Ovis aries: one gene and its partner. The protein of the gene in region 2 binds, or shares a complex with, the protein of the main gene of each other region. Links are inferred from orthologs where the notes say so. Each region holds a gene or a part of one and is shown on either strand. Other genes may lie near its edges.

Region 1 (4,607 bases), on a different chromosome or scaffold from region 2:
TTTCCTCATTGATTGACCTTTTTTTGTCTTTTTGCTTCTTTGGCCACAGCCTCCCCACTGTCCCCCACCCCCCACCCCATCAACAACAACAGAAATCTGGCCCATTACTGCTTCTTCAACCTAAACTTCACAGTTCTCTTCCGGAGCTACAAAGAAGTCGTCACGTGACCCGAAGCCCAACCACCATTGGGTCTAAAATGAAAACAAAGGAAAATGATTAATCTTAAAAAAAAATTCTGAAGCCTAGACTTCTCAGGTCAAACCTTAAAACTAAAGTGAAATTAAATCACTAAATAAAACTCAGGACAGAGGGAGAGGAGGCCTGTTTGATTTCCCCCGCCAGGGTAAGGGGAGAGGAGGAGGGTGGGAGAAGCTATGGATCCAAGCATACATAAAATGGTCCCCAGGCTAATGTGCCGCTCTGTTTCCACGATCCTTGGGAAAACTTCATTTCTTAGTCGTGGTTCCATAAAAGTTTTATCACATTGGAGCGAGGATAGAGAGGGTCTGTCAAAGATGAAATGTCACCGCCGCATCGCTGGAGCCGATAAGAGCTAGGAGACAGGGAAGCTGAAATATGGAGCTAATTCGTTGAAAGAGAAGCGATGGCTGCTTGCTGAAGAGTTGCATAATTCTAATTGTAAGCGATGTTCTAGCATTGCTTAATTAGGAGCATATATTTGGTGGTAGAGATGGTGGGGGTGGGGGGCGTGTTGGTGAGAATCATTCCAGGCCCTCAGCCTTAAAGCCAGGGCTGATTTTCATTTTTATGTTGTATCCTGGCAGTCCAAGGTTAGTAATTATAGCCTTTATGCAACAATAAATAACAATAAAAAAGCAACCTGAATTCTTCACCCCACCCCCCACACCACCACCAAGTAGGATTTTAACTGGACTAGGCTCATCCAAGCAGCAAGCAATTTAGCACTGGGTCAAGCTATAATTTAAAGGCATAAGAGCGTACAAAGTTTGATTGGGATCAAATAACGTTCATGGGTTTTTCTTTCTTTCTCTCTCTCTTCCTCTTCCCTGAATAACATTTTCTGAATGGTGTTAACTAGATGAAGCGCCTTGTTTGGCTCTAGATGTAGACTGGACTGATTTTTTATCTAGTAGGAGAGGGGCAGGCCAAGTCAGAAAGTTTAACTTGAGTTTGAAAAACAGAGCTTTGGCTTGAAATTGGAATTGCAATCAAGAAAAATAAGGGCCACCTTGGCTTGGTGTCCTCCTCCCTTCTCTCTTAGAGATTTCAGCCCCTAGCTAAGCAGCCAAAGTCGAGGGGAAAGTATCTGTACAGTAAGATTCACAGCACAACAGGGGGGCGGGGAAGCGGCGACTCTGGGAAGGAAGGTTCTCTTGGCCCCTTTTAACACCCAAGTTTTCTGCTGTTCTCTAATCTGGCCGTAAAATCTGTCAGCAGGGTTAGAGAGAGCCGTATTTCCTGCAGGGACAGCCGGAGTTGTTGCGGAGAGAATCGCTCAACCCTGCAGCCAGCTGGAGAGGCTGTGAAAAAACTTCCAGGGCTTCTCAAGGGGGTGGCCGGAGGGAGACCCCTCTTAGGCCTCCTGCACAACCTGCAGACAACTACTCTTCTGTGCCTACTCCCCACTTCCACCCCCGTCCTCACCTCCAAGTGGCAAAAATTACTCTTTGGAGCCGAGCTGGACACAACCGTCTCTGGCTAGTTTGCCCAGTTTTTCAGAGCAGCTCCCTTGGATCTGAGCCCTCCAGAGCCTGCCGCCCCCGTCCCTGCAGCCCCCACGTCCAGCTCCCCCCTTTTCCTCCTGGCTCTCCTCCACCCCCACCCTTCTCCTCAGATTCCTCTATCCTTTTTAAACACTCACCCCCAACCCACACGGATGAATACTTACCACCACCCACGCGGCTGTTACACTGACACAAAGTTTCTAGTTCCAGCTCCCGGCCGAGTTGCCATTTCTCTGCTAACCAGCCTTCTCCTTGCTCGCTGCCGAGCAAGGAGGGGGAGGGGAGGCCGGAGCCGTGGGAGTTCTCCAGAAAAACTTTCCACCCAACCCAGCGCCTTTCCTCTGTCCCCATTTCCCATCTGTTTCCCTGCTCTCCCAGAATCACCTTTCTCTTTCGCTAACACCCCCCACCTCCAGGCCTTTTAAAGGGATGGGGAATTTCGGCTGTTCCCTCTGCTTTCCCAAAGAGCCAAATTCTTTGATGCCATCGGAGGGAGCTGTCAGGGGGCTAAGATTGATCGCCTCATCTCCTCTCGGTCCCTCTGACCCACTTATTTAAAAATCTTACCCCAGATCGACATTTCATTTTCTGCTTTGAGATCTAGTTTCCCACCGATTGCTTGGGGCTGTGAGTCTTGTACCCATTCCCTCCAGTAAATTACAGCACTCCCTAAAGTTCATACTATCTTGAACTTCTGAAAAGAAATAAAAACAACAATTTCCCCAGGGGCTAGAAATGAGATATCATCTTTGATCATTATTTTTGCACCCCCTCCACAGAGAATTCTATCTTGTTGGGGGTATTTATTTATACATACATACAATGAGGAAAATGGCAAGGGCATTCCTGTAGGGGGGAGTACCCCCTTCCAATACATTGGCCTGAAGTTTGAGAGTTCTTTAAGTCAAATTGGGAGCTACCTTGGTTCTTGATTCTTGTTCCTGTTCCTGGATATAGATGCAGATACAGGCTTGAGGCTTGAGAGGGTGCATATGCATCTTCAACCCTGTTTGCTGGGGTGTCATAGAGGAGCCCGATGCCTCCAGGTGAGGAGGCAGGTAGACACAGGGGCAGGGGCAGTGCTGCAAATGCTGGGCAGAGAAGGGAACCGAGACTTCACAGCTCCACAGGCCAGAGGCCCAAAAGGGCTCCTCACTGTCTATCTCACTCCTCTGTGTCAGCCTAGGAGTGCTTGTCGATTTTCTAAGATTTATCTGTTGCTTTTGGGGGGTGGGTTGGGGATAGTGATGCTGATGATTGTAAATCTCTTCTCTTCCTTATTGCACTGTAACACAGACCTTTCCCAAAGGGGAAAACCTCTTTCTACTACCTCTTCCTCCCATATTGAGATCCTCACTCAGCTTTTTTTTTCCCCGGGGGTGGGGGCAGGGAATGCTGCTGGCCTTATAAAGAAAGCTTTACTGTATTAAAAGTATTTGAAAAAGAGGAAGACTTCTCCCTTAGGTTCTCTTGTTTCCTGGGTTCCAGAACCTCCCCTCCTCTGATGGGGATGAAGAAAAGGTTCCTTCAGCTTTTCTGGAGAAAGCGGGGCATGGGGAGCAGGCATGTAGGACTGGGGGGCTCATGGTGTCCAGGTCATGGTCCTCTAGAGTTTTTGAATCAATTAAAGCAAATAATGCTCTGTTTTCTACCAGGCCCAGACGAGTGATTGGCCAAGGCGGGTCCCGTGACCATGAATTCCCTGCAATTTCGCTGGAGTCCTGGGTTTAATAGAGAGAGTCCCCATACGCTTGTATTTATCAGCAATATACAATTATAAAGACCCAAAATTTAAAAAAAAAAAAAAAAGAGAGAGAGAGAGAACAAAATCTTCCCCTCCCAAAATCGCTGCATCACACAAACCTGGGGGGGGCAGGAGGGGGGGTCCCTTCCGATCCTCCCTCCTGACGCCCCCCCAGCAGGCCCCCTCCCCCACCATTGAAAGCCATGAATTTTGAATTTGAGAGGGAGATTGGGTTTATAAACAGCCAGCCATCGCTCGCCGAGTGTCTGACTTCCTTCCCCGCTGTCTTGGAGACATTTCAAACTTCATCAATCAAGGAGTCGACATTAATTCCTCCTCCTCCTCCTTTCGAGCAAACCTTCCCCAGCCTCCAGCCCGGCGCCTCCACCCTTCAGAGACCCGGGAGCCAAAAGCGAGCCGAAGATGGGCCCGCTCTGCCGCCGCTGCCGCCGCTCCCCGCCGCCCCCCTGGCCCCCGAGTTCCCCTGGATGAAAGAGAAGAAATCCGCCAAGAAACCCAGCCAATCCGCCGCATCTCCCCCGGCCGCCTCCTCCGTCCCGGCCTCCGGGGTCGGATCGCCGGCAGGTCGGTAAGCGTGATAGGGGTTGGGTGAGGGGCAGCTAGAAAAAAAGGGGGAGAAGGAGCGATGGGGGAGGTAGAAAAAGGTGTCGAGCCTGTTGGGGTTTCTTGCCCCTGTCGATTCCAGGGACGAGAAAGCAGAAAAGATCGTTGTGGTTCAGGCCTGGCCGCTGCCAGCATTTTTTTTTCCTTTCCCTACAGCAGATTTTGGAAGCTGGTTGGGGAAGAGCATCTTTTTCTGCTAGGAGAAAAGGATTCTATTGAGGTTTCACATTTAGCTGTGTGGAGGAGTGTTGTTGGATGGGGTCGAATCTGGAGGCAGGAAGAGATTCAATCCCATCTACTCTAGCTCTAGGAGAAGTGGGGGGATTTGAGAGCTGGGGGCTAGGGAGGAGAAGAGGTGAGGAACAATCTTTCTTTATGAATCCTCTCCCCAGGCTGAGTTAGAAAGTGCTGAAATGAGGGATCCACTTGGAGGACCTGGGAGGGGCTCTGAGGTTCTGGGGGCGAAAGGGAGCCGCTCCCTAACCCCTGCATGGTCCGTGGGCGGCTCTCTGAATGCTGTGCGCTGACTCTG
Region 2 (3,807 bases):
CTCATTTCAGAAACCCCTGACAGTATGACAGGCATCTCAGAGGAAAACGTATGACCCCACTAAAGAAAAGAAAAACAGTGGGGGCGGGAGGTTGAACCAATGGATAAAACTGGTGACAGAATCCTGATGAATAATAACTATCTAACCTTTAATTAGAGAGAAGAGATTTGTTTTCTGTGTAATTTTTTTTCTAAATTCTATTTCTTCTTCTTCTTTTTCCTTTGTGTGGTAATGAAGAAAGCACCTAGAAGCTATTCTGTTTCTTTATTCAGGTAGCATGGTGACGTTCTGCAAAGTAACACTTCCAAGGTGCTTCCTGGCATCTAGGGGTTCCAGGAAGGTACACCACCCTTATTCCCTCAAATACGGGCCCTCAGGACAACAAAGCGTCCAATCTCAGAACACTCAGAGCAGGGATCTACACGTGAGCTAGCGCAAAGTTCTGCTGAGCGGCTTTCCCTCCCCTTTCTTTCCCACACTGTCAGGATGAATCGCACACACTTCTGAAAGTCACCGGTGGTCAAGTCACTTTGCATTTTGGGGAGATTCTTGCTTCCGATACCAGCTGCTTTAGACTATGGCTTCCCACGACTCCTCCAACGAGGCTGCCCTCAATGGCTTGTCATTTAGTGCCAGCGACGCCCAGTACCTGTGAGAGGGGGCACTCCTTCGCCAAGGAGCTCTGATTCATGTCCTTCAGCAAGTCTTTCAGCGCATTCCTCACGGTGGTGTGCGACCACTGCTCGGGGGGCAGGTCTTCCAGTTTGGGGCAACTGTTGGAGACACAGAGTAGAAAGGGGATTATGACAAGATTGCATCCCGCTGCAGAACATTCCTTTAAGACAGACAGATTTCATTTTGCGCATCAAACAGATGCATCTGGAGATTGCTCTCGGTCTCCTGATTGTTCCGATTAGTTAATTACTTTATACAACACATCTGCTGTATCGATGCATGAATTATACATCAGCTGCCTGTGGTGGCTATTTTTCCATGTTACTTCTACCTTCCTGCTCGGATGCGCTTGGGAAGACAATTTAAGGTGTACTGCTTTCTCAAGAGCCATCGTGAAAACACGAACGTGGGAACCGTTTTCCCTTCAGGACTCCGCTCGTACGAATTAAGACGGTTAAAAAAAATCATATAAATAAATAAGAGCTCGGCAATAGTGAATAAGGCATTCTTTCACAAAGTGTACACAGATGGCACTGTTCATGATATGCAAAAATATTTTTCTCTTAAGTAAACTTTATGTAAAATGCCTTCTCGCAATGCATCATTTAATTGATTACACAGAAAAAGTCTTGTCTTTTGATAACCTGCACAAGTAGATGCATTTGGGGGGAACACTGCTTCTAAACGATGGGCTCAGATTAGGAAGATAAAGGAGAAAGGGGGGAGGTGGCAAAATCGATTGGGGTTAGCCTCTCTGAAATGCAGGGCGAGTCACAGCTGAAGGCTGGCCAGAGATACTTTGTTTCAAACGATCAGGTGAGTAGAACGTTCTGCGCTGGAACTGCTTTCCTGACTCACCTGTGTAGCTGAATTTTCAATGTGACCACATGATACACATCCTGAAGCATATCTGCTACCGTAGCGTCGGGGGCATCTGTCACGTAAGACAGGGGGACTGGGTTCCACTTCCCGACCTGGATCAGCCCTGTTCCAGATAAAGAGCGTGTGTCACTCAGGTCTGGCCCTTCAGATAACCTACCCACTGCCAGCCTGCTTTTCACTGCCCCCACCACAAGCAATACTGTTACTTCTGTCTGAATGATTCCCTTCCCTCCAAAAGGCAGGTCAGTGAAAATATGCTCAGCTCAGTTTTCCAAACTGTGAAATTATGTAAATGACGGTGGGGCTGTTTATTATTTTGGAAATAAAACCCCATCAATAAAACCTAGGCAGAGGCCACATTTTCCTAACTTACAGGAAGTTCTAATAAGACATAGCTGAACCAGTTCTAAATGGCTTTACGATTTAGATAAGATTCTCGATTGCAATGGGAATCAGCATTGAAAAATACTTTACAGCCCATAAAACCATCAGAAACAGAATAAAAGAAACAGAACTAGATATTCAGTCATAAATGCAAATTGACTCTCAACAGTCCATCTGCTCAGATACGCTCCTCACTTCCTTGTGGGTCCTCAGTGGAGCAGATTATTAAGGTCAATAAGCTTACTAATGATTCAGCTGAAGTAATTTAAAAAAAAAAAACCTACCTCCACATTCCACATGAGCAAAATGCGTGTTAACTAAACCAAACCGAATTAAGCCGATTTTTTAAAGCCACAGTCTAGAAGGAACCCATGTAACACACAGGCTACAGTTCTTTGAATGAAAATATTCAGATGCTTTCTCTGCAAGGTAAACAAAGGATGCCAAGCAATTCCCCCAACCCCGTGGATGCATTATTTACCTTTGGCCTGGGCAGCAGAGCTATGTGAATAACCCAGAGACAGCAAGGCCATTTCTATCAGCTGGTTGAAAAGCATGTCCTTCCTCACCAACACAAATTCTGCATGCTCCTCCTTGCAATCGTATTCAATGGCATTTTCATAATGTTCTACCACGCAGAAAACCGGGAGCATGGTTCCTATCAAGGAGACGGAGGAAAAAGAGACGCAAACCAACGAATTTCAGCAACACAGTCTGGGGGGGGGGGCGGGGGCGGGCAGGGAGGGAAAAAAAATGAAACCATGAAAATAAATCTTCACCACCACGAGAGAATGCAAGACTGGCACAGAGACCCGGGCACACAGACACAAACACACACCTTCTTTTATTCTTATTTTTTAAGTTGCAAGAGAAATGTTGAAATAGAATATGAACTCGGCCCTGAGGTAACTGGGCTCTAATTTTAACAGAGCATTTCCCCAAACCAATTAATGCAGAATTACCTTTCTGATCAAATCATAAGGCTGACAGGAGAGGAGTAAGAGTCTGGTCTGATCTGCTGTGAGTGGTACCTGGTGTGCAAATGTAACTCACTCAGCTCAGCTTCGAAAGAACCCATCTTCATGCTTCCTACATGCTTTTGTTAGGATTCAACTTTCCCTGTCTGTGTCCAAACAAATTAGCTTTGATTATAAAATTACGAGCATTCGCCTCGTTCTTTAAGATCTTCACGTTGAGGCCACAGAAGAAACACAACTTAACCCAACTGAAGTTCATAAACACAGGATTTCAACACGTGCACACTGCAGATGACTAATACTCACTTTGATGGCTACTCATTTAACCTGCCTAAAAGGACATCACGGTAACCACAGGTCTTTAAAACGAACCATCTCTGCTCTAGCAAATGGGGTAAGGATGAGAGCAAAGGAAACCGTCCTCATCAGGGTGTCTCAAGCTACAGGAATCTGCAGAGACGAGATGTGCTCTCTGTTCACTGTAATCCCAGGTAATAACTCAGGAGCCAGATGGTTAATAAACACAGGCCACACCACACCACTGTCAGCAAAGAGGCTTCTAGAAACAGAAATCACGGAACGCTGTCGTCCTCGAGGTGTTTACACAGCGCACTGTCAGACTTCCAGTGATAAACGGAAAAGGGTTAAAAGCAGATGCAGCGGAGAGCACTGTGGCACGCGGCCAGGAGGGCACCATCCTGAGCATAAATGATGACAAAGGTTACCGCGCCAGGGCACCCGGGACCCCCAGTTAGTCCTGGAACGCCAATGCCTCTCTAAGCTCTGTCCTCTGCATTCACAGAAGCCAACCAACTTCTGAAGGTATCCAGGGCCGGCAAAGCAGAGCTAAAAACCCAGGGTTTCCTCCTGACACCAGAGATGCCCTTTA

What was found.
Region 1: SATB1 (region 2) and HOXB2 share a complex: the UniProt entries of both Homo sapiens proteins name them as parts of the nuclear protein complex. The link is inferred for Ovis aries from reciprocal best matches to the Homo sapiens genes SATB1 and HOXB2.

The regions. Positions count from the first base shown.
Region 1 is NC_056064.1:37,675,261-37,679,867, forward strand, and holds the start of HOXB2 (homeobox protein Hox-B2), read left to right. Parts: upstream 1-1,751; 5' UTR 1,752-3,654; coding exon 3,655-4,036; intron 4,037-4,607. UniProt on the Homo sapiens protein: Sequence-specific transcription factor which is part of a developmental regulatory system that provides cells with specific positional identities on the anterior-posterior axis.
Region 2 is NC_056054.1:276,534,362-276,538,168, forward strand, and holds part of SATB1 (DNA-binding protein SATB1), read right to left. Parts: intron 2,600-3,807; coding exon 2,423-2,599; intron 1,661-2,422; coding exon 1,534-1,660; intron 774-1,533; coding exon 650-773; intron 1-649. UniProt on the Homo sapiens protein: Crucial silencing factor contributing to the initiation of X inactivation mediated by Xist RNA that occurs during embryogenesis and in lymphoma.